Danio rerio: one gene and its partner. The protein of the gene in region 1 interacts with the protein of each later gene in a pairwise test. Links are inferred from orthologs where the notes say so. Each region holds a gene or a part of one and is shown on either strand. Other genes may lie near its edges.

What was found.
Region 2: the proteins of wdr6 (region 1) and g2e3 interact in a two-hybrid assay, tested with the Homo sapiens proteins (2 studies listed by BioGRID and IntAct). The two-hybrid records come from large-scale screens. The link is inferred for Danio rerio from reciprocal best matches to the Homo sapiens genes WDR6 and G2E3.

Annotation. Positions count from the first base shown.
Region 1 is NC_133183.1:28,124,150-28,137,350, forward strand, and holds the start of wdr6 (tRNA (34-2'-O)-methyltransferase regulator WDR6), read left to right. Parts: upstream 1-5,391; 5' UTR 5,392-5,495; exon of another isoform or gene 5,496-5,578; coding exon of another isoform or gene 5,579-5,581; intron 5,582-7,328; coding exon of another isoform or gene 7,329-7,358; coding exon 7,359-7,455; intron 7,456-8,359; coding exon 8,360-11,003; intron 11,004-12,385; coding exon 12,386-12,463; intron 12,464-12,552; coding exon 12,553-12,669; intron 12,670-12,750; coding exon 12,751-12,845; intron 12,846-13,201. Other genes in the region: fsbp (fibrinogen silencer-binding protein), read right to left, coding at 1,131-1,439. UniProt on the Homo sapiens protein: Together with methyltransferase FTSJ1, methylates the 2'-O-ribose of nucleotides at position 34 of the tRNA anticodon loop of substrate tRNAs. Required for the correct positioning of the substrate tRNA for methylation.
Region 2 is NC_133192.1:30,296,560-30,309,092, reverse strand, and holds the end of g2e3 (G2/M phase-specific E3 ubiquitin-protein ligase), read left to right. Parts: intron 1-81; exon of another isoform or gene 82-104; coding exon of another isoform or gene 105-142; coding exon 143-305; intron 306-384; coding exon 385-491; intron 492-638; coding exon 639-755; intron 756-1,204; coding exon 1,205-1,329; intron 1,330-1,460; coding exon 1,461-1,569; intron 1,570-3,926; coding exon 3,927-4,231; intron 4,232-4,306; coding exon 4,307-4,488; intron 4,489-4,567; coding exon 4,568-4,740; intron 4,741-7,691; coding exon 7,692-7,903; intron 7,904-7,985; coding exon 7,986-8,233; 3' UTR 8,234-9,088; downstream 9,089-12,533. Other genes in the region: scfd1 (sec1 family domain-containing protein 1), read left to right, coding at 10,452-10,482. UniProt on the Homo sapiens protein: E3 ubiquitin-protein ligase which accepts ubiquitin from an E2 ubiquitin-conjugating enzyme in the form of a thioester and then directly transfers the ubiquitin to targeted substrates. Essential in early embryonic development to prevent apoptotic death.

The DNA of each region.
Region 1 (13,201 bases):
ACAGCGAAATATAATCAAAAATAATATTTATTTAACACAATTGAAAATAATTTAATCAAAACATCAGTATCTGTATGTTCAATCAGTGTGAAAAGCAAGTGAATGGATGCAATAGGTGTTGTCAGTGATAGTGTATGGATGTGAAACAAAACATAATGCCCAAATTGGAGTGCAGCTCTGGCCAATTGAAAGAACAGCGGCCCCTACCAATTCTCTGACGGGGTTTAAATAAGGGTGCTGACCAGCATCAGGTGCGCTGAAGGCACGCCCCCAATCTAGAACAAATTAAACACACAGAAACAAAAACAACGCAGTCCTAACACAGACAAAAGAAAATCATAAAGGTTTGAAACAAGTAAAAGGTGACTAAATGATGACAGAATTTGTATTTTTGGGTGAACTACCCCTTTAAGTATACTTAATAAAACGTACGTTTTACAGACAACAAAACAAACAAACAAACATGTACACAGAAAGAAATCTAGTTTTATTCAATTACTTCCCTTAATAAAAAAAAATTATTTAATAAAAGAAAATCTTAAAGGCTGATTTATACTTCTGCATCAAACGCTTTGTTGTGTGATTGGTACGAGCCTGATGGAGCGATTGTTTTCAAGTGTGAAGTCCCGTGAAGGAGCTCCGGATGGAAAGTTTTGTTTTGCGTTTACCTCATAGTTAAAGTTGTTGCACGTCCGCCGGTTCCTGCCTTAAAATGAGCGAGTTTGAGCCACTTGTACATCCCAGAAGTGTTCAGGAAAAGCAAAACAGCAGCGAAAAAACTTGACACAGAGGAACATTTACACCTCACTGCCAACTAGCGTTTCGGAAGTGTTAATGCTAACCAACAGAGACAGCGCTCAGAAGTATAAATGCACTGCTACGCGCGTTGCATACGCCGTGGGTTACGCCGGTTACTTGACGCAGAAGTATAAACCAGGCTTTACAAATACAGTACCTTAGGAACGGTATAACAAAAAATTTTGGCAGTTTTAAAACCTTGACTTTTCCAAACCGTTGTATACCTTGAAAACGGTTATTTGTCCCATGCCTAATCGACTCCACACCATCATAAACATACATTGAACGTTCTGATAAAGTCATGCATCCCTAATCTGAATTAGAGAATTTACCTGAGTGAGGGCAGACACTGGGAGCCCAGCGGCCTGCTGCTCCTGTCTCTTCTGCAGGGCTACACGACACTCGACCTTCAGTCTTTTCCACAGTGTCTTTAGAGAGCCGATGCTGCTGGGTGGTCGACTCGGGAACGCCGCATTGAAGGCCTGAGCCAGCTCTGCCCACACAGCATTCCGGTGCACAGTAGTGTTGGTGTCTTTCCGAAAGTCCTGGACCGTGTCTACCACCGCATGGATTCTCCGAAGCAGAAACAGCTTCTGCTCCAGGGTGAAGTTTGGCATGCGGTACGTCATAGTGGTCAACATGAGTGACTGGGTTTTATTGAGGTATTAGGTGTTGCTTCATTTATAGAAACTCTAGAAAAGGTCTTGCTATGTTTATTTTCAACAGAACAGTCTAGTTTAAAGACATCTAGTGGTATTTGTATGCATTTACTTGGTAACATTTGTAGCGTCACAGTGTATGTGTTTACAGTCCAGGAATGCAGGAAGGTGAGGTCAGATTATGTGCATTTCAAGAGTTTCAGCTCCAGTGATATGGTAAACTCTGGATGCCACAAGTAAAAGGGGGATTTTGAGGTCGCTTGATCATGGGTGCTAAATAGAAATGTATCCCGGGTCCACCTGATGGGCAAAGGGTCACCAGGCACACATGGGAAGTCTGTAAATGAGTATAAAGAAAGCACAATAAAAGGTTTAGCATTTGTTCTATATTGTTGTTGTGATATTGTTATTAAAATGTAGGACTATTTTGGAAGGTGATCAGGGCCAAAATTTTTCAGTTAAACACATAAAATTGAATTATGTAAATACAGATTGACCATGTTAAGGTGGCAATTATGAGCTTTTTTTTTTTTTTTTTTTTGTACACATAGACATGCAGAGTTTAATGTGTACACCAGCCCTCCAGGAACAAGTTTGATGACCCCTGACCTAGATTATGCATTTAACTGAGCAAAAACAAAGCGTAGAAATTTGAATGCTTATTATTGAATTATGTGGAGGAAGCAGGATTTTGGACTCTTATATTGAATGACAAAATAACTTTATAAAGTTCATACCAGGCCTACCTTGTTTACAGAAGTGTCTACATGTAAAATGTATTCATTGTGACATTTGACACTAAACATTTGTTGAGATGACAATTTTTATGAAGGATGATGTACATCCATCTCTGGTGATTACATAAATTAATGCCAGTATATTACGATATCTTTTACAAAAAAAATTGATCTGATATTTGATATTTGCATAATACTGAATCTGACCCAAACAGACCCATTTCTATAGCAACAAATAATTAAATAAACATGTAAGAAAAAACAAACACTTGAACATACATCTGCATGATGACAACCATCTTTTTGAAAAATTGAATATTTTGTGCACATTCTATTAGTTTATATGGATTTATGACCTATACTGCAGCCATCCACCAGGGGGGCACTCAAACAGTTTTGGCTTCAGTTTTTACGCATGTATGGTGCACTTGGTTGACAGTTACACTGTGCATTCTGACACAATCAAATTTCACATGTTTTGTGTCAACACTTGCCACTGTAGACTCTTTTCACATTTACGGGTTTCTCAGTAGAGGAAGTCATCATAGTTGGGAAAACTTAGCGCCCAGTAAATGGGAAAGTACAACAAAAAATTTTTTACATACCTATTTAAAGACGTTCAAAAAGAGGAAAAGAATTGGCAGCCAGAGGAGAGAATAAAATAAATTTACTTTCCTGTCCCATAGACACTGCATTAAAAGAGCAGTTACCACAAGCGGTAATTCGTTTTTTGGAATTTGAAGCAAAGATGATATACTACAGACATAAATACACATTAATGTTCATATGTTTTTTTTTTTAAATCAAAATTTTTAAAACTTTCAAGGATTTAAGATGCTGATGACCGTTAAACGCATCATAACAGGCGTGTGAAAGGGATCCATAGCATTCTTTTTTCCACGCTATAAGTTACAGTTATGTTTGAGATTGCATTTGGATTATTGGTCATTTATAAAATGCAAGTCAATGGCTACCAGAACTTTGGGACTCAAACAAAGAAATATATATAAATATATATATATATATATATATATATATATATATATATATATATATAGGCAAAACTAAACTAATGAGTTGTTCCTGTACATACACTGAAGTCTTATGAAGAAAATCGATCCGTCTGTCCACGAAATATTATTTACAGATATGTGACAAGATTTGTAAACACATTCAGGACCATTTGGTGAGCCTGTGGAATAATGTTGTAAAAAAATAAATAGTTGAACTGTAATGAATTATTTACACAGACTGAATTAAATAAGTCACTACTAGGTATGGGCTGGTATAAGATTCTGACGGTATGATAACCTTGGATAAAAATATCCCAGTTTCTTGGTATTGTGATTACCGCTCTAAAATGAGTTGTTTATGTTTTTTTAAATGTCTGGGTAAACAAACAACTTTCCCCCCCTTTGAACACAACACATTTTATTTTAAGAAACATTTTCAATATTTTGAAACAGTAAACATGTCAGGCGACATAATAAAAATCTTCATTAGTTTCAAAAACAGATTTCTTTGCAACTTTAAAAGGCATCTTTTGATATCTAACTATCTAAAAAAAAATTTACATACCTATTTAAAGACGTTCAAAAAGAGGAAAAGAATTGGCAGCCAGAGGAGAGAATAAAGTAAAATTGAATTTCCTGTCCCATAGACACTGCATTAAAAGAGCGGTTACCACAAGCGGTAATTCTTTTTTTGGAATTTGAAGCAAAGATGATATACTTTTCTTTGGATTTAAAGTAAGTCTCTGCACTTTTCAGGTCTAAAGCATGTTTGGATGTTATAGTTTATAATTTGTTTCTCAAATATTTCCTGAATTGCAGGCTGACCAGTAGCTTTTGATGTGGAGGGTTAATTTCTTCTGGAGATACTGCTGCCCAAAAACTAAATTAGTCATAAAAAACATTTTAAAAACTACAAATACCTTAGGAACAGTATAAAAGAAAATGTTAGCCAGTTATCATCCTGTGCCTAGTCACTATACAATTGGATGGCCTTGGACAGATGTGTCCAAACTCGGTCCTGAAGGGCCGGTGTCTTGACTTTAGCTTCAACTTGCTTTAACACACCTGCTTGATTGGCTGGTCCAGGTGTGTTTGATTAGGGTTGGAGCTAAACTCTGCAAAACACCGGCCCTCCAGCACAGAGTTTGGATGGCCCTGGCGTATTTCCAGTAAATTTTCTTTTTTTTAAATATCCCTTTGAGACTTTTTAATTTTATTTCTACATACATTGTAAATGTTTACATTAATTTTAAGTTTGTTAAATAAATTGTCATAAAGGTAATTTTTGCAATTAACATAATAGATATTTACAAGACTACTCTTGGCTGACAATTCTTTGTATTTTTGCACTAAACTCTGCGCTGCTACTAATGTTTGTACAAAATATTCTAGTGGCTGCTTTAACACAAGTTTTTTTTTTTTTAGGCCAAATGCTTGCTCGGCTCGCTGCGATTCGGTTCGGAATCGTTCGGTTTTGTGTACCAGCTCAACTGATTCATTAATGGTCAGACTCAAAAGAACAATTCGCTCAGAGTGAATCGCATCGTTATTAAAGAATGAACAAAGAAAAAAAAATCAAGCAATTAAATGCATGTCTCGCCAAGTCCTACAGGTGCAGGTGCAGCATTTTCATTGTTACGGTACTAATTGTTATAACTGTATTTGTCCGCCGGTCATGCTAGCCATAGCGCTAAACCCGAGCATCGCACTAGAAGTGAACCCGAGCTGCGGTTTAAGACTATCCCGAGACCACTCTCCTTAATTAAGCTATTGTGCATTTACACACACACAGCGTATGACAACTGTTATTATATTATCCACATTGACACTACTTACATGCAATCATCAGGCTGTCGATTTTATCCCGAAAATATTACACTTTGTCCCCACCCCCTGGGTTTAAGCGGTCCATAAGAAATTTAAATAACAGACCGGAGACACATGCGCAAAATGACGCTCAGGGCGTAAAAAAAGGCAATTCACTGGTTTGTGCATTTCGTATGATTTGTATACCATTCTCATGAGATCTGCTCAATACATATGGTTTGTGCATCTGGCAAATTGCACAAATCTACGCGTTTTCACAGTGGAAAGCGCAGGACTGGTTTCAGCCAATCGGTTGTCAGTGTGGTTCGGTGTGTGTAGTATTGAACAGCGCGATTGGACGGTACTCGGTGTCAACGAGGAAGTGAAAACACATGCATACAGTACGAAACATGCTTGATGCAGTATAAACGACCTTGTTTTTATTGTCTTTAAAATAAAGGCACGATCTCTACAGGAGACAGGTTTGTGAAATTTAAGCTAATTGAATTTTGGTTGCTACAACTGTACGAGAAACGTGTAAAATCACTGCTGGAAGATCCACTTTATGGTAAATATGTCTTGCTGATAAGTTACTGACGTTCATTATTGTAAAAAGTAAACCGATAATCGTTTATAAAAGCACATTTTATTGCAACTGCCTTTTGGAAAATCATGTATCTCAAATTGAATTTAATCCTACTGCAGTTAACAGTCATTGCACACCAGCTGGCTAAAGACCCTTTATCATTTGTTTCTAACTTTAGACAGTGATGGTTTACGTTATTTTCAAAGTACAGATATACGTGTAATATAAAGGAAACTGGAATTAATTGTAAATGGGTGATGTTAGTCTGGGCTTAATTATTCAGTTAAGAAAGTTTGTTTACTTGACATATCTTAATAATCCACATCATGTGTCAATAATCTAGAATAATTAAAGTAAAGATAATGAAATACATTTTTAAAGTAAGGGTGTTGTGGTTTTATTTCAATTACTGTAAAATAAAATTAATATCCAACATAATATTTGCATTAGGATGCACAATACTCAATTTTGTTTTGCAATTATGATAAATTAATTTAAAATGTAGTTATCAATTTTTGACATGTTTTCATTCATTAATTTATTTTTTTTTTACCTAATCTGATTTATAAAGGCCTTCATAAAGAGCTAAAATATTCCTGAAACAACAAATAATAATCACACTTTTGTTAATTGTGATAAAAAATGACCGAAGTGAAAATTAATGGGAAACGACTTCAAGCAGAAATATTTGCCTCAACACTCAAACAAAATCATACAGAAAGATAGCTTTCTGACATATTAACCTCAAACTTAATTTTTTTTTCATATAATAAATTATATATACACTACTTGCAGTTTAAAATTAAAAAGACTAATTGGAAAATATGCAATTTATATCAGATATGAAACTTTTAATTTTTGTTTTTCAGTATTAAAAACAAATTTTGCCAAGTATCCCCAAATTATTTTATATCAGGGGTGTCCCAACCTTTTCTTATGAAGGGCCAAAAACTAAACTTGATTGAGAGTGGTGGGCCAGAGGTAAATATACCAAACCATGAAGTTGTCAATGTTATTTTCTAATTTATTATTATATTATATAAATTAATTAATTCCATAATTTATTGCATTTAAAATATTTTTATTGCATTAACAATTATAAACTTTTGTACATTTTATAATGAACATCTTACAATAAAAAACATAAACAATCCCATTTATAACACAAAAATCATTTTGCCTTAATTGGCTTGCTGATGTCTTCTGCAATGTCCGCTATCCATCAAATTACTTTAAATATTTTTTAATTAATTAAAATTAATTCTGATTCATAGCTTTCATTCATAGCTTTTCATAGCTTTATGTGAAACGTTTAATTTCAGTCTGCCTTTTTTTTACCTCGACAGTTACAAAAACAAAAGTTATGTAAAAATAAAATTGGCATTCTCCCCAAAATTCCCCATCGTTTTACCTCTCCTCTTAGATGGGATGGAGGGCCAAATCAAAGGTTACCGTGGGCCAACTTTTGTCCAAGTTTGGACAGCTCTGTTTTATATTATTCCAAATTATTTAAACAAATTTAGTAGCTTTGGTAACTGCCATGTGACCAGCAGCTCTAGTAGGTTAATTATTATTATATCATAACATCGATTTGATCGTGTAATAAATGCCATAGCAAGCATTTTGCATTTGTTCAGGTTCTGCCTTTTGAAAATGACATTTCAGGAGATCAGTCAGTAATGAATAATGCTGTAATGTTTGTGTGTGTGTGTGTGTGTGTGTGCCCCAGAAGTCTACAGCCTGCTGTGCAGACTGTGAAATGGCATCTCCTGTAGAGTCTGCTGTGGTGAAGAGTGCTGTGCTTGTTGCTCCCATCACTGCACTGGAATTCCTAGGGGAGGATTTTCTTTTGACAGGTGACTGACATTCATTCTTTTAATGAACAGGAAGCAAATCAACAAGCTAACAATCCACGGTGAAGTAAATTATGTAGACTGTGACTCATGGGCCAATATGGATGTGATTTCTCTAAGCAACCTGAAGTGTCTCCTAATGTCCCTCAAATTATTTTAGGTAAATTTAGTGCATTTAATAATCCCAATGACATTGGCTGCATCCGAAATTGTCTACTACTCAGAATGCACTGTATTTGAATTTACTACTCTACTTTTAAAAAGTATGTTCTATAAAGTATGAATGTAAGTAGTATGAATGAAACTCTGACCTACTACATCTGCCATTCTGTCATCATCATGTGACCAAAACATCAGTTGCGTTGCTTCACTCACATTCATAAATTCTCTCACTGGGCATCATGTGATAGCGTAGCGTGCATCAAATATGCATTTCAGATTCTCGTCGGAAGTAGTAGGTCATCCGGGTACTTTTCGCATACTGTTTTTTTAAATCTATGAATTCGGATGTACTACTCGGTTTGCATACTGTTTTTAACATACTATATAGTATGCAAATATGCGATTTTGGATGCAGCCATTGTGTTTGTGTTTATTTCATAATGAGGTTGCTCTAAATTGCACTGTAATCCCCTCATTTGTTTTTCCATAGTTGTATAATTTTCTGCTATTGATTTTACAAATTCTAATTCTGCAATGTTGCCTATTTTAAATGTTTTAGATGTTTTGTTTGTAACTGTGTTCAATTGCCTGCTTTGCACTACTATCAATGTTTTCACCAAATAAACTGATTTAGCTTTAAGATTTCCTTCTTTAATAATATTCGAATGTTATGTTGAAGTGCACTTGTGTCTCATATTAAAATTCATTTGATTGATTCTTCCCTATCAATTGTGTTGTGTTGTAGGGGAGGGACCAATCCTCTCTGTCTACAGTCTTCAAGCATCTCCTAAGAAATGTGCATCTATAAATGTACTCCAAAACTACCGTATCCATGGGATACGACCATATAAAAAACATCAGTCTGGAGGAATACCGTTTAGTGGTGCAAGCTCTGCTTCGGACAACAGCTACAAGGGAGATATTATTGTTTTTGGAGGAAAAGGAGTTCGGCTTGTCAGCTTCGAATCTGAAGGGCAGTGCCTGAAACTGATTGGTCCTCTCTTGGAGCTTCAAGACTGGGTGCTGGACATTCATTGTTTTAAAAGACAACCTCATTCACTGTTAGGCATATCCTTGGCCCACAATGCCATCATGCTCCTAGAAGCAGAGTCTGGTAACATTATCTCCTTTTACTCGTGCGTAGAGACTTGTCTTCTTTACTCAGCACTTATGGTTGGTCCAAATTGGGACTCTGTAGTGCTGGTGGGTGGGACGGTCTTCAACCAGCTTGTTTTGTGGAGGCCAGCTGGAACCAAGCTCAGTGGTCAGTCCCAAGTAGAGAGACGTCTACTGGGCCACAGTGGAGTCATTTTCAGCCTTTGCTACCTTCAGGAATCTGGGTGGCTGGCATCTGCTTCAGATGACCGCAGTGTTCGTTTGTGGAGCGTTGGCACATTGGGTGGAGATGCAGGTTGTGGAAAGGAATCGCCAACGTGTCTTCGGGTGCTTTATGGACATCAAGCACGAGTCTTCTGTGTAAAGCTTACACCAAGCCGCTTATTTAGTGCTGGTGAAGATGGTGCATGCCTGCTCTGGGAATGGGGAGGTGAAGGGAAGGTGGGATGTGCATTTAGAGGGCATAAGTCAGGTGGCGTGAGGGCTCTGGCTGTAAGCGAGGGAAGTATAAGCTGTAGGGCGGGATGGGTGGCTACTGGAGGTGCTGATGGTGGAGTAAGGTTGTGGAGAGTGGCAGAGGGTAAGAAAATCAGTGAAGAAACTCAGGAAGAGACTCAACTGGATCTTGGGTTCAGAGGGCATGGTTGTCCCAAAGTAGTGCGATTAGTGGGGGAGGGTGAATCAAATGCAATTCTGGTCTGCACGGATCAAGGTGAGGTTTGCTTAAGTCAAGGTGACATCTGGGATGTCATTTGGCAAGGAGGATCTGAATTCCAGTCCTATTGTGTGATGGAGGTTGCAAGCATCCAAGTCCAGAATTCGGATTGCATTGTCCAGGTTTGTGCAGTAGGTAACCTGAACGGAGGAGTGCAGGTGTTTCTTGTAGGACAGCCAGGGGTGGGAGTCTTCCTAAGAGCTGGTGAAGGGAAAGTTCACTCTGTACTTTGGGTCAAGGGACTGTTTGGGGAGTCCGGGAATGTGTGTCTTCTGGCATCAGGCTCTGAGGGATTAGTGTACAGATGGACAATAAATGTGACTGAGGATAAATCAGGCCTACACATAAAAGAAGAAGCTCTTCTTCCCTTTCTGCTGCCACCCTGTGCCAAACGCTGGTTGACTGCTGCAGTTACCTTGTCACAGAGAAATGGGTTTTGCCTGTGTGGTGACCGGAGAGGTTCATTACTTCTCTACATGGAAAGAGAAAATAATGACAGGATAAATGAGGGGGAAGAAAGCAGAATAGACTCACAAGATCAAGAAACGGAGAATAGACAAACTGAGCTTGTCAGTTCTCTTTCTCCAATCAGCACTCTTTACGGCGTCCATGGGAAACAAGGTGTGACTTCAGTATGTGAGTACCAGGACTTATGCTACAGTACTGGTCGAGATGGATCTGTAAGAATACTAACTGTTGAAGAAAGCACCCTGAAGGTGCGTAGAGTTCACCGGGCTTGCAAAGGCATGGACTGGCTGGAGATGGTTCTGTTTTTGGGATCAGATGGACCAGAAAGGATGCTAAATAAGACAATTGTGAAAAGGACGAATGATACAGGGAGGGAAAGCATAGCTGAGGCTCGTTTTGTAATGGTTGGCTTTCACTCTGTCCACTTTGTTATATGGGACCCTCATCGTCAAGAGAAGCTACTATCAGTTACCTGCGGAGGTGGTCATCGCTCTTGGGCCTTCAAACGCCCAATAAGCACCCACATAGATACCCAGACACAAGCTCTCAGACAGGGTACTCTTGTTTTCATTAAGCAAGGAGCTGTCATGGCATCACGTTCATTAATGTCCACAGACACCAGTGTGAATGGACACACTCTGAAAGAGGGACTGCATGGGCGAGGTATCAGCTGTGTGTGTCACCTTGGTAGTTTGTCTGGAGACTTGTCAGAACTTTGGGAGGTTTTTGTTACTGGAGGGGAGGATACCACAGTGGGTGTACTTGCTGTCTGTCCACAGAGTGGAATTGTTAAGGTACTCGCGGTTCTTACGGATCACATCTCAATTGTTCGTGCACTGGCTGCAATCAGAAGAGGAGACATGAACGAAAGAGAGAGAAATAATGGGATGGAAACCTCTGTTCTCTCTTCTCTGGTGTTCTCTGCGGGTGGCCGGGCCCAACTGCAGTGTTACCGGCTTCTCATTCATTTGGATGAGCAACAGAGTCAACCAATCTGTCAAGTCACTCAGATTGCTGGCCATCGATTAGATGAGCAGTGGGAACGAAAGCGGAACCGACACAAGACTGTCAAAATGGACCCAGAGACGAGGTGTGTGCATATTTGTGATTTTTCATGTCAAATATTTTATGTACTTTCCTAGTTTTAGAATAAGGATCGAGAAGAATATCTTCTATAGTGATTAAACACTAGTATTAATTCATTAGTTTCCAACACCTTTATTTGATAAGTTCTTATTTCTTAGATACTAGTGCTTACTTATTACTAGTATATATTCATTAGATACTAGTACATATTAGATACTTGTATTTTTCCTATTTTAATATTAACTAATAGCAATTCTATTATTACATGTAACAAATCAAAAAGCCTTTACCTTCTGTACGTTTCTTTAATTGTGACTAGTATACATAATAGTATAATAATAGTAGTTTTTTGTTTACTATTAGTACTTAATTTGATGCTCTCACCCATTGAAATGGATGCAACATTTTATTTACTACATTAGTTTATTACATAGCTACTAGTACATATTTGTTAAATACTAGTATATGTTTAATAAATACAAATTAGTTATTAAATTGGCATTAGTACTTATTGCAGACTAGTATTATTTGTTAATGTTACTAATAAAAAATTCTTGTTTTAACTGCTCAAACTGCTTATTTTGCTCAAATGCTATGACTTGTCTGAATAACCAAAGTAGAGGTCAATTAATACAAATCTTAGTGTTAAACGAATCATCTTGATACAGTTAGGCATCTCGCGATAAGAAAGTTTTGTTGTGCGATATATTGTCATAGAAATTGTTGCGATAAGCGATGTTATTGTCATTTTTAGAATATTTTATGCCACTGATTATGTAATGTTTATATAACAGCATAATAATAATAATACAAATACCCATAGAAACTTAAATATTGGTATAATTCTTAAGGTATGATTCTATAATTTGACGTTAAAAAGGTAAATGTCCAATTATAAACTTTGACACCGGTGAGGTATAATGTAAATGTCATTGTGAAGTGGCTTTAACAATATTTGTTAATTTGTAAATATATATTGCTACGGCAAAAATTATTGTGGTTGATATATTGATTATTGTGATAGGCCTTAATACAGTATCAGTAATAAGCATGGACAGTACTACTTAAAGTAAAATATTCTAATGGCTAAAAATGAGTATAGTGTACTGTTAACTTCTCAAAGATTAAATGTTACCACAACTTGCAAAATATGATCATCTTCACAGAAGAAATATATTTGGAAACAACTGGAATCTTAATGTATTTTTATATGTATAATGAAATGTAATTAAAATCAATCATGCTAATGAATTTAATGCTGTTTGATGGTTGGTTCAGAACATTTTTGACCACCAGATGGCAGACAATACAACATACCCCTTCATATTGCAACTGTGCTTTCTTACAGAGGGATTTTATTGTGCAAATGCTTTCTTGTGTTTGCAGGTACATGTCTATTGCTGTAGTGCAGAATGAGAGTGAAGGAGTACTGCTGGCTCTGGGGTGTAGTGATGGTGCAGTGAGGTAATTTATTGTGAGGTTATGAAATTTCTTAAAATAAAAGCTTTGTGTTTTTGTCTCATTCTGAGTCTGTCTTATGTTTTCTTTTTCAGGCTCTTCAGTGTGAATGAGAGCAGTAGGAGCGTTGATGTGCTTTGGGAGTGTTTTTATCATCAGAGGTGTGTGCTCAGTGTCGCCACCTGCAAACTGGAGGACTCCCAGGGCAGAAAGTAAGAGAGTTCTGTACAAATATCTGATATTTAAAAGATATTTTAAACTTATTTCTCAATGTCTTTCTCTTTCTTTCTCAGGCTTTTGTTGCTGTTCAGTGCCACTACAGATGGTTGTATATCTGTGTGGGATTTAACAGCAGTTTTGAACAGTAAGGCTAGTGTCAGCTGGCAGGGTGAGTCATACATACACCAGAACATAAACACTTGGTTTTTTTATTAACGTGATTATTTTTAATGTTTGAATAACTGTGTCGTCTAGCAAATTTACGAATATTTCATACATTAAAGTATGCGCAGTCTTTACATTTTTTGTTTTGCAAGCGTTTTTCTAAAAGGTGCTGTATGTACGTTTTTGACTGTTTAAAACCATGAAAATATTATAATATGTTTGCAGATATTTAAGAAACATGCTAAGTGAACATACTTGTTTATCTGTCTAAAACAATGCTGAAGTCAGATACTCTGCTTTAAAAATGTCTGTTATGTACTGGAACGCTGTCTTTGTTTTGATTCTTTTAACCCGCCCACT
Region 2 (12,533 bases), on another chromosome or scaffold:
AGCTGTCAAAAACTGTCTTGTCGAATAACATTTCTTGTTGAATAACAAAAAAACAAGTGACCCCAACCTATTTAAAAGCAGCATCATTGTTGTCAATTTTACAAATGCTCCTCTTGGTACTGATCATGGCAATCTTTTGCAGGTCTTTCTGTAAAAAGCATGCGCCTACTCAGTCCTGTGACTCCAGCCACAGTCTGCCCCACTCCTGCTCCATCTGTCTAGATCCCATTGAACCCATCCTCTCCTATCATGTCCTCAAATGCCCTGCATGTCATGGAAGCTGGTTTCACAGGAAATGTGTACAGGTAATCTTTTTAACCCCTATTTTAAACATGTTAATCTAAGTTAGAACTTTGAGCCAGATCCTCCTCTCTTGTGTTTCAGAATTATGCACACAGCGCCGCAATGTTTTTCTTTAAATGCACACTCTGCAATAACAAGGAGCAGTTTCAGCAGGAAATGCTCCGAATGGGAATATATATACCAGAGCGGTAAATAATCCTTCTGCTATTGATTCTAGTCATTCGAATTTCTATTACCTTGTTTATCCTAATGTTTTATTTGTAACACTGTTATTCACTGCTTGCTGGAGTAATGTTCAAATAATGTTTTTAGTTACATTGTTTTCTATTTTCCAGTGATGCATCTTGGGAACTGGAGGAGAATGCATTTGTTGAGTTATTGCAGGTCTACCACCGCTGTGATGCAGTGAAGTGTCTGTGTCACAAAGGTCGTGAACACAGCTCACAGTCAGGGTAATCAGTGCTTTTCATTCAGTCATCCCAAATTAATCAAATGAAATCAGAAACATATACTTGTGGAATGCTCCATTTTTTATGTTGGAGAGACTTTAAATGAAATATTTATTTATTTAGATAGGAAATTTGATCAGAAATAAAAATTTAAACCGTTTTAGATTTTTATCTTGTATGTTATTATTAGTATAATTATTAGTTGTGTATTTTATCATATGAAGTATTTATTATTTATGCATTATTAATTGCTGTTGATGACTTTTTATTGTTAAATATTTAAAAATGATAGAAAAGTGATATTTAAAAAATATAGTAAACTTGATCTGTTTCGAAACTTGACTTTGGGCTCATTTAGGTCTCGTTTTTGTGGAATGTTGATTAATGTACACTGACCTTGGTTGAAAAACATTGTAACTATCAATCAATTAAGAAACGGCTTTTCTTAACAGGTATTTTGAAATAGTTCTCTGCAAGTTGTGTGGATCCAGGGGAACTCATCGAAAGTGCTCTAATATTCGAGTTTATGAAGCTGACTGGATGTGTGCTGACTGTAAAACTGCAGCTGAGGGCAAAAGTGAGTTCTCTAAACTGTTGTATTTTTGTGGTGAATAATAGAACAGCCTCATGTGCTTGGATGTGTCTCTCACTCTAGGTTTTAAATTTACCTCAGTTTTTTTTTTTTTTTTTTTTTCATTATTTTTACAGCATCATTGCCATTGCCAAATCATGTTGAATCGCCACTGGCTATAAGACAAGAGAGGAAGAGGCTGTTTAAATCGATCTCTGACATTCACTCTTCAATCGTCGCTAAAAGGTATTTTTAAATTGATAGGATCTGTTCTAAGTCCAAAATATTCTTGATCTTTTACAACCCTTTTTTTATTTACCATTTTGCTGTATGATAAGTTTAACTGTCACTAAGTTTGTTGTTCTTATTACATAGTAATTGTGTAAAGCGCATACTGTGCAAATAAAACTACTGTTTAAATATTACTATAAAAAGGTTATTCTTATTAACAACAAAATTAACATTTATAAATAAATTCCATGAAAATAAATGCACTGGGAGAGTATTTGCTGCACAAAACATATGCCAGAGTCATAATTAACGGTTCATTCTGCTGTGACGATCCCCTGATAAATCAGGGAATAAGCCGAAGGATAGTGAGTAAGTGAGTAAATACTTTAATTACTTGCTGGGTTCCCAAGCTTTTTGGAAGTACTTACATTTCAGACATATAAATTCAAGGTCCATGAAGTACTTAAAATCAAACATAGGTACTTGAAAGTGCTTGAATTAAATTTGCAATAAAACTTGTTTACAGTGTTATTTCAACAATTATACTGTGCTGCTGTCAAAAACAGAATGGAAAAACTGAAAAAGTCTTAAATAAAAAAAATCTTTACCAAATCTTTACCAAAGCCTTTACATCTTGTACAACAACACTGACAAATAATGCACATTTTAACAAATTTTACTAAAGTTATTTAAACATGACTATTTAAAAACGGTCAATTTTAGACATTTTAATGTAAATATTAAGTGTAAGTAAAATGTTAAAGTTAAAATGTGAGTGAAAAACAAAGTAGAGTAAGGACATTCATGGTACAGAGGTGCTTCATTTAAAATGAATGCTGCTTTAAAAAGTTTTTAAATCTGATGTCCATGAAAGTGTGAAAACCCTGTATTTGGCAAATCGTTGTTTTGGGGTTCTAGTTAGGCTTGGGAGTGGGTCAGGGGAAGATAAATCTATAGGTATAAAATGTATACATTTATAAACATAATAGCTAGAGAAGCTGTGAATCCATGCATGTGTACAATAAAGTAGTAAATGTTCATGCATAGTAAGGGTGTTTTCACACTATGTACAGTTGTTTTGAACCATGCCGAAGCACGCTTTTCCCCTCTCCCCCAACAGCCTGCACTCACATTGCATCCAAGCCGAAGCATGCTCACATCATCGATGATGCACTGGTCAGTTTAACAGAAGAGAAGTTCTCTTTTTCAGAACCGTGGAGTTTTCTTTAGTTTTATCGTATTAGTTTGATATGCAGAGACAATCAAATATTTCACAGACGAGATCAGTCGCTTTTGAAGCTCATATAAAATCATAAAGTCCTCGTGCTGCAGGCATTAAAAGGTTTGCTGAAGGTGCAGCTGAAGCGCAGTAAGGGATTTGCGTCTTTAATAAACAAGTCCTTTAAACAGTCCTTTAAAAGGCATGTCTCGTCTTCAGTTTTAGCCTTAAGCAGGTCGCAAACCAGAAGCGCCGCTCGGCGGCACGCCATGCATTTTAGAATTCTAAACATAGGTTTCTATCAGGATACACACACCGGCGCCGCAAGTCGGCAGCGCCCGGCCACGGCTCTGGACGCAGTTCATTTTTCAGCCGCGCCACAGAGCGCCATCTGATTAGTTTCATGTTAAATATCATTCGAATGTGCGCGTCTGGTGTGTGATACTTTAAACTGTCATGTGCGTGCCGTGTTGCGGCGCCGAGCGACGCTTCTGGTGTGCGACCTGCTTTAGGCACACTTTGCACTCACACTACAAGCGTACCGCGGCAAAGCCCAACTGAACTGCGCTATGGCACACCTCTTTCAACTGGGCCAGGGCCGGCCAACTGAACTGCGCATGAGCCCGATTCAGAGCACTCCCACTTCTCAAACGAACCAGGAAACGCGCTTGGGCACAGTTCTGATTATTGTATACAGTTTAAAATAAAATTATTGCTCAAGTAATTATGCTTTTATTACTATTACCATTAATAACAATCATGATAATTAATATTAGAGTGATTTCCAAAAGATCACGTGACTCTAAAAAAACTGGTGTAATGAAGCTGAAAATTCATCTTTAAAATCACTGGAATAAATGATTAAATTAAATGATAAACTGCTTTTGAACAGTTATTTTAAAGTGCGATAACATTTCATCATTTTACATTTTGTTCTGTATTCTTGATGAAATAAATGCAGCCTTGGTGAGCAAAAGAAGTTGATTTTAAAACATTTAAAACTCATTTTGACCCCAAACCTTAATAAAGCATTATCTAATTAAATGCACAATTAAGATCATTTATTAGATGATTTTGGCTGTGTTTTGATCACTAAGTGCACATATGAACTATTATGAGGCAAAGTAGTAACAGCTTTGTCATTGTTTTGTAGGCAGTGTGTGCCAGCCACTTCTCCGGAGGTCTTAATGGATCTGGCCTGTCAGATCTCACAGCAGCAGTTCACAGAGGTGCTGGTGGGAGATGATGATGGTGGCGTGATGGAAGCAGCTCTGCAGGTGCTGCGCCAAAGTGACTTTAATCCCTGCTGCACACTTTCTGTCAAATTCTCCAAGGACAAACTGAACAACAACATTAGAAACCAGCGTCGCTTTCTCAGGCGTCTCGTTTCAAAACTGCAGGTCTCAGACATTTTTGAGGGATCCGATGGAGCTAAAAACCTGGCTCTGAACTCAAAAGGTACATTCAAACCCATTTTTTAAAATTAGAAATGACCTTCACTAACAAAGCTAACAACTGTTGTGTGTGCAACAGCTCTGAGGGACGATCTCTACTTTGATGTCGGCAGTCTATTGGCCCTCTCTTTGGTTCACGGAGGTCCTCCTCTGGGCTTCTTCTCTCCTGCACTGTATCATAGTCTGTTCAACTATCCCAAAAACTACAGGCCTACTTTAGAAGACCTCGGAGACACTGCTTTTGGGCACAAAATCAGACAAGTGAGTTTATTTGTGTAACTTATTAAGAACCTAATGGTTGTTGTACACATGTTAAACTATAGTGTCTCTGTGTTTTTAGATCGCAGAAGCAAAGTCAATGAAGGAGCTGAGACATGCGATGAAGTCAGCATCACAATATTTGGAAGCTGCAGGCTGTTGGCGGAAGATCAGCAAACTCTCTGAGAAAGACATGTTGGTGGAGGATGTACTGAATTTCTACCTGATCATCAGACTGCAGCTTCCTCTGCAAAGGTTTGTAATCTAAACTGTTAAGACGTATATCTTAGCATGTAAAAAGCATAATTATAGGGTCAAATGTGTCAAATCTAGTGATTGATTTATAATAAAGACAGTATGAAATTATTAAGATTAGTTAGGATTTTGGGGCTGCACTGTGATCCTTAAAGGGCACCTATGTTACAGTTCAGTTTTTGTAGACTGTTTGGACAGAACCCAACAAGTCTCTTTTTTTAAATTTCCTTATGTTAAAATAGGACCCTGTAGGGATTATTTACAGTTTTAACTCAAAGAATGACCAGTCTGTCAGATGAAGTAGAGCCGGAGTCAGAAGTTTTACTGAAGATAGTTTGCAGTTTCATCAACAGAAGCCAGCTTCAACACTCGCAATAAGTTCCTTGGCCGCTCTGCTTACAATCATAAATCAACATCAATTATACTCTCTACACAAGACCAGAAAGAGTGTGATTCAGGTAACAGGTTCCGATTGGTTAAAACAAAGATAGACAGTTAAAATATTATGTACAGATGGCAACAGGAGGTTTGGGTCAGGTCAGCCGCCTGTAGACAATTATGAACTGGTCTTAGAACTGCAGAACTGACCCATCGGATGAATATATACACGCAAGTGACAATCTGTTATAAAAACCCAAGGTTGTTTCTTCATACTCTCAGCTGTCTTATCGAACTAGTTCAAAACTGGTATAAACAGCATTCAGACTGCTATATTTTTACAACACAAAGTCTATAAAAATCACTTTAAAATGAATATACACATAACAATAATATCAAATTCACTTTAGACAGTAACACATAGCAATCCAAATAGGAAAACAGTTGTTTTTAATCATCAAGCCCTTCAGTTCCACTTGAGGTTTCCTTGACCTCTGATCTAGTTTGGTGGCTCCTGAAAGTAGAGTTAAAATAGAAAGACAAAAAGACAGGCAAATACACTGAACATTCTTATATTATATTAAGCAATGTGTTAACTTTATTTATTAGTCTAAATCATTTAGTGATTAAATACTGAATTAAATAATCATGTTAATAAAGTTATGAGAAAAAGGATAAATGTTGATCCATGCTGGGATGGATTGAAAGGCAGAAATTCGAGTCCATCAACCCAAATCCCAGTAATTTTGAGGCCCACAGCAAGGAGATGTAGGAGTGCGGTTTATGGAGACAGGTGCCTTGTCTCCATAAAAACTTGTATACACATGTCCACAGAACATTTTTTGCAAAGATACATGTTACAACTCTCTGTGATCAGCTGCACATCAATTAATTTTATAAGTTTAAAATGTTTTTAAAGCAGAGCCCGTTTGTAATAAAGGTAATAAAAATAGTGGGCGGGGAGAAGCAGCTTATTTGGATTTAAAGCCACAGGCTACATAAATAGCTACACTAACCTCAGACAGCAAAATCGGCAGATTCTGGACGATATGATAAATTATCTGATGAGTATTTTGAACTGAAACTTTACAGACACATTCTGAAGACACCAAAGGCGTATATTACATTTTGTAAAAGGGGTAAAATTGGTGCCTTTTTAAATAAAGTTTAATATATTTTATCAAGCAACACTTATTCGAAATATTCATGAACTAAAATTTTGTGTTTATAACATTGTTGCATTGATAATTTGTTGTTTGTCTTCTGTAAGGTGTGTGTGTGCGTGCGTGCGTGCGTCTGTCTGTCTGTCTGTCTGTGTCTGTAGAATTTTTATTTTTTTATTTATTTTTTATTATTATATGTAATTTTTCGCATTTCATTTTTACATCTTTAAGACCCGTAATTATAACATTAATTGAACATATTTTACTGTTCAACAATTTGGTTGGTACGATCTCTCTTTTATTATTTAGTGAGAAATCCATTATTTTATTTAGTACGTTTCCATTAAGCTTATCAAAAGTGACTTTAAATATGAATGACAAAAATGAAGAATGTTTTATTTAAATTAAAATTGAAATGATTACAGTTTTTTTTCCATCCATCATAGAATGTTAATAAGTCATTTACGTTTTTGCATTTAGAATATGTAATTTGTCACAGAACCAATAGCATTTGCATTATACTGTCAGATATTAGAAACCTGGATTAGTATAGAATCTTAACATTTTTGTATTGTGGTAAACCAAAGTAAAATGTTTAAAAATTCGATAGTAATTTCTAAACTGTGATCACATTAACTGCCCCACCAAAAACAATGTGGATTGCATTTCTTAATTCCTAATGGCGGTAGTTAACACTCAAAGCATTTGTTTTTTCAGCACATCCCATAATTTATAAAATATCAACCATTTGGTAGAGGTAGAAATGATGCATATGCTATGAAAATCTGAAAAATATGAAGTGTAATTTCAATTTATAAAAAATAATAATAATAAAACATTTTTGAATACTAAATCAACTTTATTTTTTAGTGTGCCATAAAATATTGCCGATTCTCGTTTAACTTGTTTTCTGTTTGTTTCTGTTTTTTACAATAAAACCAAAATCAAGTGTAGTAGTGCAACATAATAATGTTTGTTTGTTTGTTTGTTTTTTTTTGTTCTAGTTTTTTTTTTTTGGTAAACCAACGATGCTGTTTGTGTAAACTATTATTTAAAACAGTCACTTTTTAAAGGACTGTTTTATTTAAAACAGACAAAATATGATCATCTATAAGTAGAGCAGGCAGTGGAACAGTTAAGTGGAGCAATAACTGCTAGAAAGTTTGCATTAGAATCATACAAAAATGTGAAATAACTTCAAATAGAACACGGTTATTTTGAATTGTTGCATTTATTTCAAATAAAATGTATTCATGAACTTGTATTATTAGTTATTATAAAATTATTAGCTCTTTAATTTTACCTACCCCAATCTGTTTAATTCTAGTGTATCCACATAATGTTTTAAAGCACCTTCATTTCTCTTCATTGTGAGCAAATGTTCATTCAAGCTCATATTTCTTTCCTCAGATTCCGTGAAGGTTTGAGGACACTAGGAATGTTCGAGCAGGTCCAGATGTGCTCAGAGACGTTCTTTCCAGTCTTCTGTGGACCTGTGGAAAGGCTGACGGCTGAATCTGTCATGGAGCTCTTCACAACCCGGTTATCAGAAGAAAAAGAAAAACAAGTTCTAGAAAAGACCACGATAAGCTTTTGGAAACAGTATCTGCATGAATGTGAAGGTCTGTGTGTTACATTTTGGATGAATATGAAGAGAATAATCAATGCATTTTGAATAATTTTAACCCTTCTCTTGTGTTTCAGAGGGTCAATGTGCAGCATCGCTGGAGGACCTCCTAACATTTGCCACTGGTACAGATTTAGTTCCAGCCATCGGATTCAAGCCCACTCCGTCCATCTCATTCCTCAGCTCACCAGACAACTTGTGTGCTTTTCCTCAGAGCAACTGTGATGCCAATCATCTCATTCTGCCTACTCTACCCTCTTACCAGCTCTTCAAGAAACATTTGGATTACACAGTGTGTCAGTTCTCAGTTATGCAGGACATTTAAAGCCGAGCTGGATGTTTCAGTAGAGTCATGGTGTAGATTCACATAATGATTTACAATGGTGCTAAAAGTCTTTTTGTTTGCAGTTAGCGAGTATTATATCAACAGTCTTAAATCGCATTAATGTAAATGATTCACTCTATTTATCAGTAGTTAAACGCAGGTTTTAGAACTTGATGAACTCTGTGTTGTTTAAATGGTCTCAGTTATTGATCCAATTTAATTCTCAAAACAATTTGAGCCACTCAACTATTGAGGAAAAACTCTGAGGTAATATTTTCTACAGAAGCTTAGACTCATGGAAAATTTGTTTTTAAAAAAAGATTATATGTGTGCTTTTCTTATCAATTTAGACTTGAAGAGATTGGGAAAGCTGGTCATGAGCATGTAAATGTAAATAGCTTAATGTAAATGTTGCTTTGAATGGCTTAGATGTTGATTTTATTAGCTTAGAAGTGCAGAGGTTTTTAAACCAAAGCTCAAAGTAGTTGAGTAGTAATGAGTTGTTATGTTCTTATGTTCTTGATTTTTCTTATAAAAAAAAAAACTGCAAAGCTTAAATTGACGCGCTTATAATTTTCTGGTAGCCACAAGATGGAGCAATTGCAAGATTTTTGCCACACTGCTAATGGCAAAATGCCGTCACTACAAATGAAGTAGTTACTGAATGAATTGGTCTGCTTTGCTTGTCATTTCCATTAGAATCACATTTAAGCAGGTATGTCTTTGTTCTTGTACAGTTTTATTTCTCCTGATGTCTTTGTTTGATATCTTGACAACTCGATAACTGCTATAACTTATTTGTTTTAACTTTCTTTTACTGTGTTTACTTTTATTAAATAATGAATGGATTTATAATGTACTTACCTGAAGGTTTTTTTCAATCAGTCTTAAAATCACCTATCAAATAATATGCACACGTCCATCACATCAACAAAACACTGATATACATTTTTAGTCAGAGCAATTAGATAGACTATCTATGCATCCATCTGTTTGACTGAAGTCTGTCTAGATTGCCATTCATCCATAAATGACTTTATGGATTAAGGACTGGACAATATAAACAGACTCTAGCCAAAGACAAACAAATAGATGCATTGATCAATGTAAGACAGATAAAGGGATAGATAACTGGATAGACAGACTGATGAATACAGTGTAGTCAACATTTGAAGTGGAGGAAGGTTTGTTAGAATTGTTTTAAGTGATTAAGTTGTTCACTAGCTTAAGGAGAACTTTGATTAGAGGTTTTGGTCCACTTAAAATGTTGACTACTGTATATTGTCAGATGGGCAAACTGACAGATTTTTTGTGATTTTTCTAGAATTGTCTAAAAAAATAATCTTTTTAACTTTTATACTATTAATAACCTCATTTTGCTTTGGTCCAAATTAGCTATATCATTTTTTTCATATTTTTTAATCATTTGTACTTTTTCTTAGATGTAAGATGATAGATAGACAGACCAAAGGGTGAATATGCAGATAGACAAACTGATGGATGAATTGATAGACTTGATTGACATTGATGGATGGATGAACAGATATGTAAATAGACAAACTGGATAGATTGGTAGACAATAGGATGAATAGATAACCAGATATATAGACAAGTTGATACAGGGATAGACAAAAAATGAATATATAGGCAGATATATAGACAAATTCATACATGGTGGGATGGATAAACGGATGAATAGATTGACAAATTAGGGCTAATCATATTGAAAAAAAATATGATCATGCAATATTTGAATTGTATCCCAATTTGGATCATCACAGTTTAAATGTTATAATACTTTTACTTTTTATTTTCATAGACTCAAATAAGGATAAAACAATACAATTCTATAAAGCCCTTAGGTCTTGAAATCCATAAAACAAGGCAAATGATAACACTGAAATGTGCCTGTCAATAACTTAAAAGAAAGTGATTGTTTTCTTCTGATAAATAATTGAACAAAAGAGAAAAATGTTAATTTAACTTTAATATTTTTGAGCCTGGTAAAAAAAATGCTTTTCATAATTTTATAATGCATATATTCTGTCTAGAGAAACTAAATTAAAAATCAAAATATAAATTATTTAAAATCATCTGATAAGCCCTCCTTGATCTGTTTACTGAGGATCTCCAGTGGTGTGAGTTCTTGTACGCTGACAGACAGCGGCTCGCCGGTTGCCACGTCACCCTCGCAGTCGTCACTGCATAAACAGTAAAGATGGCGGCGTCCATCCGGGAAAAACAGACAGGTCTGTTCTAAAGTTTTTATTTATACACAAACACTCAATGCTGGCAATATTATTAATACTAGTCATTTTCACACGATTTTAAACTCTGTCAATTAAAAATACAGACAATAATGCTGAATGCAAAAAAACAGAAGTAGTACAGTCCTGTCAGTGTAGCTGAGGATGCTAACCGTGATGTTCATAAAGCAGCTACTTAATATGAGATGAATGAAAGATTAACCTACATGAGTGCATAAAGAAACACTTGTACTTTAAAAATATACGAAATGTATACGACTATTATTACCCGTGAGTCCTGTCATGAAAATAAATTGATCTGATTTAGCAAGCTAGCTAAAATCACGAACATTATTCAGATCAATACTTAACGTTAGGTACAATATATTTATGATAATTATTGGGTAACGTTACAGTGTTGAAGGGAAGGTTACGTACGATATTTTAATTTATTTATACTTAATTTATTTTAACTAATTCTATATGCGGTGCAATATCACATTAATATACGTGTATTGTGGATAATTTATCGTTAGTGGATAATATATTTAATATAGTTATTTGTCCTAACAAATCTTTATTGGGATGGACAAAAATACCTTTGTTATTATTTGGTCATTTAAATATTGATTCTCTATTTTTCCGGTTTTCTTTTTTTCTTCTTTTTTTTTAAGTCAGAGATACACAAATGACATGATATAACCATAACCTATAATTTGATGTTGTTGTATGCATTTAAGTATGGGATAGAGATAACGTTGGTTTTCGGACTTTCCTCTTAATAATATAATTTCATAAAAGTATTATTTGCAAACTCTAAATAGCGAAATCCTATTAGCAGCCAATGACTATCAAAGTACAACATTGTTCACAGTCAAATAAACAGTGTTAATGTTGTTGAGAAGTCATACTTGCATGCTAATTTCAATAGAATATTCAAAGTAACATGGTAAACAATATAGAGTCTTCTAAATGAACGAATGTGCAGATATAAAACCAACTTTACCTCTATGAGTATGGGTTCTGATTTAATGTTCAAGCTCTTAATTTCTTTTTGTCAATTGAACATTTAAGAACTGATGTTTGCTTTTCATTTCACAAATGTCAATTGCATTTTATTAAATCTACATTTATTAAATCAAATCGAGAATTAGATCAAGGGTCAGTTGGGTTCTAACAGAAATGAGCGCTTACAAATCAGAACTAATGAACATTGGATAAAATGCATCATTTCAAATTAGGGGAGAATCTATGCTTTGGTTGTTAAAAATTTCAGAAGCAAGAAGGATTTTGTGATTTGGTTTGTTTATCTAATCCAGGGGTCACCAAACTTGTTCCTGAAGGTCCGGTGTCCTGCAGATTTTAGCTCTAACCCTAATCAAACACACCTGAACAAGCTAATCAAGGTTTGACAAGGTATACTTGAAACACCCAGGCAGGTGTGTTGAAGCAAGATGGAGCTAAACCCTGCAGGGACACCGGCCCTTCAGGACCGAGATTGGTGACCCCTTATCTAATCGTTTATTTGTTCATTATTTATTTATTAGTTAAAATATATATGTGCACTGCACACACAAATCTTTGAAGCAAAATTAAGTAAATGTAAGGTTCTATTTGTTAACATAAGTTAACTACAGGGGGCGAGGTAGTGGCGCAGTAGGTATTGCTGTCGCCTCACAGCAAGAAGGTCGTTGTTTCTGTGTGGAGTTTGCATGTTCTCCCTGCCTTCGCGTGGGTTTCCTCCGGGTGCTCCGGTTTCCCCCACAGTCCAAACACATGCGGTACAGGCGAATTGGGTAGGCTAAATTGTCCGTAGTGTATGAGTGTGTGGATGTTTCCCAGAAATGGGTTGCGGCTGGAAGGGCATCCGCTGCGTAAAAACTTGCTGGATAAGTTGGCGGTTCATTCCACTGTGGAGACCCAGGATTAATAAAGGGACTAAGCCGACAAGAAGATGAATGAATAAAAAGTTAACTACATTGGTTTACAGCCTTTTGTATGAGTTACTTTCAACAATAACACACTTTATTTCAACGTACAAGTCTCACTTTTAC